Neurospora crassa OR74A: one gene and its partner. The protein of the gene in region 2 interacts with the protein of the main gene of each other region in a biochemical or structural test. Links are inferred from orthologs where the notes say so. Each region holds a gene or a part of one and is shown on either strand. Other genes may lie near its edges.

Evidence for each region.
Region 1: the proteins of NCU06091 (region 2) and NCU07319 form a complex in vitro, tested with the Saccharomyces cerevisiae proteins (2 studies listed by BioGRID). The link is inferred for Neurospora crassa OR74A from reciprocal best matches to the Saccharomyces cerevisiae genes VPS74 and SEC27.

What each region holds. Positions count from the first base shown.
Region 1 is NC_026504.1:4,379,166-4,383,573, forward strand, and holds the start of NCU07319 (coatomer beta' subunit), read right to left. Parts: upstream 2,985-4,408; 5' UTR 2,648-2,984; coding exon 2,630-2,647; intron 2,368-2,629; coding exon 2,344-2,367; intron 2,248-2,343; coding exon 2,202-2,247; intron 2,135-2,201; coding exon 1,993-2,134; intron 1,934-1,992; coding exon 1,743-1,933; intron 1,685-1,742; coding exon 1,485-1,684; intron 1,426-1,484; coding exon 1,300-1,425; intron 1,242-1,299; coding exon 1,001-1,241; intron 950-1,000; coding exon 1-949. Other genes in the region: NCU07318 (mannitol-1-phosphate 5-dehydrogenase), read right to left, coding at 3,904-4,408. UniProt on the Saccharomyces cerevisiae protein: The coatomer is a cytosolic protein complex that binds to dilysine motifs and reversibly associates with Golgi non-clathrin-coated vesicles, which further mediate biosynthetic protein transport from the ER, via the Golgi up to the trans Golgi network.
Region 2 is NC_026507.1:1,844,767-1,849,013, forward strand, and holds NCU06091 (vacuolar protein sorting-associated protein 74), read right to left. Parts: upstream 3,112-4,247; 5' UTR 2,364-3,111; coding exon 2,112-2,363; intron 1,901-2,111; coding exon 1,654-1,900; intron 1,555-1,653; coding exon 1,094-1,554; intron 963-1,093; coding exon 873-962; 3' UTR 65-872; downstream 1-64. Other genes in the region: NCU06090 (hypothetical protein), read right to left, coding at 3,915-4,247.

The DNA of each region.
Region 1 (4,408 bases), on a different chromosome or scaffold from region 2:
TTGTGCTCGGGGTCAGTTGCCACCTCAAGCGCGAGCTCCTTGTGGCCCTGTCCCTCAAGGAAGCGCGCAATCTTATTGAGCTGATCCTCAGGAATGCTTGGGAGTAGCTCGGCAGCCGTCTCCATATCCTCGCGAAGGACAAGAGTCTGGTACTCCAAAACGGGAAGCGAGAGCGCGAAAGAGGTAACATTAAGGTCCTTATCGGTGATGTAGACGCGGCCATCACGCTGGAGGTAACCCAAGATGTACATGGGCTTGTCGAAGTGGGCGATGGTGTAAGTCTGGTCGCCAACCAAGTAGTTTAGACGGTTGGTGCTGTTGGTGTAGATCAGGACATCTCCCAACCACTCCGCCGAACGGATACTCTCGCTGATGTCGGTAACGACATCAAACGCAGCCTCAACACCATCATCCTCGACAAGACCAGCCTGGACCGCTTCGTTATAGTTCTCTCTCGAGAACCTGAGGACGTAGGTGCTATCTTCGCAGGCAAGAGCAACCAGCTCGCCGCTCTCGCTCCAGTACACCTGCTTTGGCTCCACCTCAATGCGTCTGACAAGTCCACCCGTCCGCCAGTCGTAGAAGGAAATGCCACCTTGGCCCTTGACACCGAGGAGGACACCGCCGGTAAGACCGTCGGCAGCAAATGGGACGTCGAGACCGCCGACCTTGTTCTCGAAGTTCTTGAAGATCTTGACGCTGGTGGGAGACTCACGAATGGCGAACTCGTTTGTGCTGGAATACTCCTTGGAAGCCCACACAAAGTCGAGGGCTTGACCGAATGCCTTGTTTCTCCAGGCGAGCGCAGTGTAAACGATGTATTCGCCGTCGCCGCAAATAGCAGCGAACCGACCATTGGGAGAGTGGATGAGACTTTGGGGGTACACCTCGGCGGTTCCAAGCTCCTTGGTGGTGAGTGTGATAGGTTCGTTGTCCTTGATATCGGCATCTGATCCCTGTTAGCTCGGAGTCACTCTCGATGTTCCGTTTTGTAACTCACCAGCACCCTTGATCACGGCAGATACAACCTCATTGTGCCTGGCCCACACGATCTTGCCGGAGCCATCCATCGACACAGCGGGCTCTTCCCGACCAAGCTTGATGACCACCGAACCATCATCGAAACCAACAGCAATACCCTGCTTGCCCTTCTGATATGACACACACCATGCTCGCTCCAGGCCGTAGTTTAGCGATTGCTCGAACCTGTAGGTGTTGGCGTTCCATATCCTTATCGTGCCCTGCGGTTACGGTTAGTAATAGCCTGCGAGCGAGTGGACAGGTGCAATATCGACGTACGTCTTCCGAACCAGAGATAATAATAGGGAGCTCTGGGTGGTAGCAGGCAAAGGATACGTTGTTGGTGTGGCCTTCAAGAGTGGCGATCAAACTCTTGGTGGTATAGTCCCACACTTTCACCGTGCGCTGTGCCAGTAAAGTCAGCTGTGAAGTCCTATGCGCCAGCAGATGTCAATATAACTCACGTCATCAGAAGTTGTGAGAAGATAGGGTTTGTCGCTGTGGGGATAGTAATCGACGTGGTTGACGCCCTTGGTCTCGTGCGCCTCAAGCTGGAAGTTTGGTGTGGATGAACCCAAGCTCCAGATCTTGACTGTCCTGTCCAAACATGCCGAAGCAAAGGTGTTGGTATCTTTGGGGTTGATGGCGAGGGACATGACGTAGTCTGAAGCTCTGTTAGCACGCGCGCTCTGCTTCGATGTATCAGGCTGGTGGCGCCATACGTGAGTTGCCCTCGAATACCCGCACGTTCTTCCATCCCTTCTCCCAATCCCAAAGCTTGATCGTCATGTCATCACTGGCGGTAAGGACGAAGGGTTGTGTAGGATGGACGCAAATGGCTCTGATGTAGTCGGGATGCGCCTCGAAGGATGTGATCTTTTCGCTCGTGTTGTAGTTGTAGACTCGAATTTGGCTGGGATTCCAGGTCAGCCTTCCTGTCTAGCTCTAGCCCAAGTTCCATGTCGAACATACAAGTCATCGGAACCACAGATGATCCAGTTCTTTCGCGCAATGAAGCGACCAGCGCGGACGGGGACATCGGTAAGCTCGAAGGTCTTGACGATTTGTTGTGTCTCGTATGACCAGATATAGACGTGGCCGCTGTAGAGGGTCGCTAATCACCAAAGTAGTGTCAGAATTCAGGGCCCCTCCCATCGTATCGCGAGTCGAATCAGACGTACTCAGAATCCATGGCTCGGTAGGATGGAAGTCGATGCCCTTGACTCGCTATGTGCGGGATATGGGTGAGCAATGGGAACCTTGAATGTTGAAAGACTGCTTGGTACCGGAGAAATCAGGGGGTCAAGAGGACAGGTAACGAACCTCAGAGCGGGCAAACAACTGGCGCTGCATGTTGACAGGCATGTTAGCAGGTGTTTTCTAATGAGAGATGGCCCAGTTGGAGGCAGCGATGTGATGATGGACGTGTCGGCGCAATGGAGCTGGCCGTCGAGGTGCCGGTACAGCAGACGGAATAGGGGCAACTGGAAGATCCCAGGCCGAAGCTAAGGGAGGTGCAAGTGTGCGCCAGGTTGCAGAATCGGGTTGTTCTGTTGGGTCTCGGTGACACGGCCATGGTGGTGCAGACACGAAGCCTGTGCGAACTTGCCTTGACATCCAGCCTCATGTTGGGCGAGTTTGGGGTGGGTGTGTGGTGTGTGGTGTGTGGTGTTTACAAGTTGGAATTAGAGGACGGGGCGGTCGTAACGGTTCTCGAGCTTCCAAGCTTCAGGTGGGGTGCGTGCTGGATGCTGGAGATGGTCCCTGACCGTGCAAGAAAGCCGCCGTCGGGTTCGTCAGGGGTGAAGCTATCGGAAGTGGTGCAATCGTGGTTATATGTATTTGGTGTATTGGATATCTGGTCCGCCGAAGGGGGGGGGACGTGGTTGGCGGTACGAGGATTCGGAATAGAGGCTTCGGAGGCCTTGACACTTGATTGCGACGGGCCGGAAATGACAGCGGACGGTTGTAGAGGTGCCCGCCACGTATCTCGACCGGCCGCCGCCCACAATTTCGCGGCTGTGGTCTGCTCGCCGCTCGGGCCACTCTCTCCCTCAGGCGGTCAAGTGGGCACAGCTGCCGGCCACTGTCACTTCCTGCGCTCGCCAGCTGCTGCCTAAGGCAACGACCAACACTACAGCTTTGCGGATCTCTTGGCGCCCCCCTCACCGTCGGTGCATTCAGTGTTTGAAGCCATCACCATCGCCAAACCACGTCCAAAGTCGACCACTGGAGATCGTCAAAAACCAAAAGGCTTGGACCAACGCAACGGTCACTTTGTGAACGACTCAATTCCCAATCACATTTTGGAGGAGTGTCACACACGAGCAAATTTGCAAGATACGAGTATTTCAAAACCAAAAGGTCTCAGCGACGCAACAGGAGGCGCGACCGATGACGGTCAGTCGTCAAGTCGGTACTCCCATCCATTTTCATCGTTACTTAAAAACATTATCAGCAATCACCAAATATGGGCTCAAAGAAAAAGCTCGAAGCAGTGATCAAGTTCGACGCACTTTGCATACGACAACGTTACTGGAACATGGAGAAGAATTGAGTGTGAGTACTTCTTATTGACTTGAACTATATCTATCATTGCAAAGCGCTTCTAGTGATTGCGCAGAGACAATAATGAAGAAGAAAAAAGGGAAACCCAAAACCTCCAGGATGTCAATATGATCCCGGCTAAACGCCATTGATCCCAGTTGTATAATGCTCCGCGTTGATATCCCAGAAAGCAACCAAATGAACGCCATATTCTCCGGATTCCGAGGGTCCACGACACCGTTGCCCTATTCCCTATCCGTAAAGTCTTCGCTCATTTATCATAAGACATGAAGTAAGAATGGATACAAAACACACAAGTTGACAGAAATGCTCCATCTAGTCGTCGTGCAAGTCGGCCTGTACGCGCTGTACAACCTCGACCACCTTGGGGAACAGCTTCTCCTGCTCGTTCAAGCCGCAGACCTGCTTGACAACGTCCTCGGGCTTGTTGCTCGCCATGATCTTAGCAAGTTCGGCCGACTCCTCGTCGCCCTCGACGTTCTGGAAGCGGAACGCCATCTCAGCAGCATCGAGCAGAGCGCTGCAGTCCTTACCGTGTTCGGCAAGCTCGGCTGCGGGGCCGATGAACCGCTCCTTGCGGGACAGCTTCCGTAGGGGAGCACGGCCCACGCGCTCGACGGCATCCTCCAGGTGAGGGTTGCTGATGCGCCTGACAATCTTTTCAACGTACTCGTGCTGGGCCTGTTCGTCGATGCCGTGCTTTTGCGTAATGAGGTGGGATGTGTTCTCGAGCGCCTTCTTGACCTCTTCCTGGATGTCCTTATCTTGGAGAGCATCATAGACGGTGCTCTTGCGGCGGATGTAACCATGGTAGGCGGCC
Region 2 (4,247 bases):
AGTGAAACTGTATTATAGCTAGATGACAGCATGGATTTAAAGTCAGGGTACACATGTGGCTAAACGACTGAACAAAGCATATGCCTTTTTTTTCGTACCCATCACTGAAAATTTAGCTATTTTGGTTGCCATGGGGTTACCGCCACCGTCTTTCTCTAACCTAATCCTGTTCATATTCCATTACTTCCATGATAAAGTAAGAGGTGTAGTAGACGTACAGAAAACGTGCAGCATCAATCAATGTGTGAGACCACTACACTACGCTTTCGCCCCGGTCGACGCACTCATCCCTTCATTGTCATATTTTTCTTTTTTCCGTTCTTTTTTGATTTTCGCATCTTCGCTTCGCCTCATTGTCCATCGGTATCTGCCCACCTATCCACACCAATCCTCTCATATCCTCCAAGTAAAACCCAAGCCTCTTACCATCTCCAACCCGTCCTCCTCCTATTCGACCTCGAAGAGAGTAGTAAGTGGGAGACCAAAAGAGGGAAATTAAAAAAAATGTTCATCATCATACCTACCCTACCATACAAGGAGACGAGGTGAAGATATTAAGTAAAATAGTAGGCCCTTCTGCGCGGTTGCTTCGCTGGTGTGATAGAGTGAATCAGGTAAAATGCGCTGCGTCCTCCGTGTTGTTGGATCAGGAAGGCCGGCCTTGACTGACCCCTTGCCCGCTCGCTCGCTCGAAGACCCAGCGCCCACCCACCACCCCTTGTTCGTAGTGTAATCGTGAAAAGGCTTCCTTCCCCCGACTTTCACTCACTCAGCACAACACATCATCATCATTCTCGCTTTTCGGGGTGTCTCCCACGCTTGTCCTCAATGGCTGGGCTGTTTGCTTTCTCACAATTCCCGCCGTGCGCCATTTAGAGCAGGGAGTCAAGGCGAGTGAATACGCTCAAGCAAGCCGCCACGACTTCGAGCTGGAGTTCCTTGTCCTTTGCTTTGTTGACCTCCTGTTTGTTTGGTGAGCATATGTTAACTAAAATTCTCGCTTGAACAGTCCGCTCGGTTTTTTTTTTTGGAGGGGTTCTTTTTTCTCCCTCTTCCAACAGAACCTCTTGGATAAGAAATCATACAAACGTACCTCATTAATAACTTGCGGCAAGTTCGCCCCCACACCACCATTCCCACCAGGCAACGGCCTCGCCGCAAACGGCCACTGGCTGTACTGCAGCAACAGCTCGTCCGCCATGGAAAAGGCGTTTTCCCTCGCCTCGTGGCCGAGGGTACTCAGCGCGTTCTCGAGCACGTTGGCTGCGTGCGCCGCGCACACCATGGCGATTGTCCGCACGTACCGGAACTCGAGGTCCTCGGGCAGGTACTGGGTCGGGGTGAGCACGACGGTGCGCTGCGTCAGCACGTTGCGCACACGCCGTCGGATGTCCTCCTTGGCGGCGCCCTCGACGACGGGGTGTGTGGCCATGTCGAACAGTAGGAAATTGCGCTTTTCCGTGCGCAGGATGCCCTTGTCGACCAGACCCTTTGCGAGCCGCTCGCGGACTTGTTTCAGTTGGTAGCCGATTTTCATGAGGTTCCAGGTTTCGCCTGTGGTATTAACAGGTCATGTCAGCACGTTTGCTTCCGCTTGGGTGTGCACGATAGACATGGGGGGAATGGAGATGGGGCAGTGACGCAAACACGTACCGCTCATCAAGTCAATCCAGGAGCTGACGCTCATCTTCTCGCTCGTCTTCATCATCTTCAGGGCCTCGTCCAGCAACACCTCGCCCGTTAGAGTGTCGTCAATGACTTCGATGATTCGGTCCGCCAGGGGGAAGCGCCGCCGGGAAGAGTCTTTTTGCATACTGATGCGGCCGCGGAAGGCCAGCTCGAGAACAATGCATCCACGAAGAGCATAGGAGATGTTGTCGTTCCAGAACGAAAGGTAGCCCTGATGGGGGTTGTCTTGTTAGCCATGTCGTCTCTCGTCGTGCCCAGGTTCCGAATTCCGAATCATGAAAACAGTCCAAGGAGCAGCACGTGGCGAACGTCAATATCGAGTCCAGCCATAGTCAGAAGATAGCCCTTTGGTAGGCCCCTACAACATACAAAGGGATAGTGTAGCGAGCGAGACTGAGAGAAAGAGAGACGTGGAGACAAACCTCGCGATCCTTGATGCCAAGCAATAAGACCTCCTCCATCAGCGTTAGCTTGGGTTGCTTGCTCCTCTCTGCGCTCTCGCTCAGGTCGCGGGGATCGAAGGCAATCCTGTGTCCGTTCTCGCCCGTCTCGTAGCTCGTGTCGGGCCCAACGTCCCTCGTGTCGGAAGCGCCGCCGCCGCCGCCGCCGCCGCCGACGTCGCTGCTGCCTCCTCCCGCGCCCCTGCGCCGGGTCAAGCCTGATGTTGATGCCATCTTCTTCTTCTTCTTCGTTTTTTTTTTCTTTATCGGGGACTGTTTCTGATGTGATGATTGGGCGGCACGAAGCGAATGTGGTCGGCCGAGTTTGGGCGTATGTGCACTGGTATTATTTCCCCGTGTTTTCGCGGACAGGGGGAATTGAAATAATTTCGGTTTCGCGGTAACACGTGGGGATTAGGATTGCGGATTGGGGATTCGGTAGGCCTGGGTGTAGCCTGTGTTTCAGAGGAAAGGGTAAGGCCGACTAGTAGAGGTAGTAGCCTGGTCGATCAATTGTCCCGAACGTGGAGGTCCGTCCTTCGTTGTCGTCGTCGTCTGGGGGGTGGTGGGAAGCCGCTCTTCGGCGCGGCTCTTGATGATGCGAGTGTTTGTCGTTTCGCTAGTCTGTTGGTGTTCTCTTGGCTACCTCTAGCAGGACCGACGGGGGGGGGGATGGTTAGGTTTGGTTGAGGCTGAGTGGTGGACTCGGGTATGTAGAGGTACGTAGGTAACGGGTCGGTGCTCGACGGGTCCCTCTTTTGGTTGGCACAGGCAGCGCGCAGCAGTGCCGGACGCTGTTTTGTGCAGCGGTCAAAGAAAGAGAAAGTCCAGAGGTGGGATCCCGTCCTGGTCCGCGCGGCGGATGGAGTCTAATCGGGTCAAGAGCCAATCTCAGGGTCCAGTTCACCTGCGGCGCAAAGGGGTTCTAAGTATCAAACCTTAAACTTGGGTGCAGTTGGAGATGGCTAGGTTATGTGTTTCCTGTATATTCTGAATGGCCACGTTTTGAAACGGCTGTTTCTTTGTTCAATGCTACCGAGGGATGAAGTCATTAACCCCTTCCAAGCTTCCCTTGTGGAACGGAACACGGGTTGCTCCGATCATGATAAAATCGTGTAGCATCACCTAGAATTATGTCGGCTTCCAGGCGCCGTGTTAGTGCTTTGATTGCGAATAAAGTAGAGTCCGACCACCCAGCACTAACAGCACCTCATTTCACAGCTGGAATTTAACGCCTACACCGGAGAGCGCCTCGGTATCAGACAAGCAAGAAAGGGAAGCTATGCGTCTCACATCACCAATTCAAGTCACCGGACAAAAAAAGAGAAAAGACTCGGTGAGCTGATAATCACTTTTTAACTCCCTGAAGATGCTGCCTCGCTGAAGAAGAAGGGGGACCTCCAGCCCCTACCTCCTCCCTTCGCCACCACTACTAAAAGCTAGCTAAGTATAAAAGAACAAAAGACAAGGCTTGCCCAGCCTCGTACCATGTTAACCGCTTGTCGTGATCTGGTCCAGTTGTGATATGTACGTGTGATATAATCTCTTTTTCCATTCCGACCGTGCAAAGAAAAAAGAAACGAAAAACCATGAGGAAAAAAAACAAACGCCAAAAACACCACCTGTTACCCCCTTCCAGCAAGAAATATGTACGTAGCGACAAGGCAGAAGAATGGGAAAAGGATATGCCAGCCTCCCGAGCATCTGCCGCTATGCAGCAGCAGTGGTATCAACATCTCTCTCCAAAAAGACAAAACACCCCTTGCTGAACACCTTATCCGACGCTTATTTCTTCTTACCACCGAATCCGCCCTCGAATCCAGGCCTGCTCTTACCCTTGGAAGCACCTTTTCCTCCACCCTTACCGCCCTTGCCGCTCTTGACCTTGATGCCCATCTTGCGGGCCTTCTTCTCGTCCTGCTTCTTCTTGATGTTCTCCTCGCGCTTCTTTGACCTATCGTACTGGGCCTTGGCGACGCCCTCCTTGCGCTCTCTCCACTCATTGGCGCTCTTGCTCTTTGCCTTCTCCTTGCGCTTGACAGCCTTCTTGAGCAGGTGCTCGTCGTCGTGAACCTTCTCGCCCTCGGCACGCTTGCGAGCAGCGAGCCACGTCTCCTT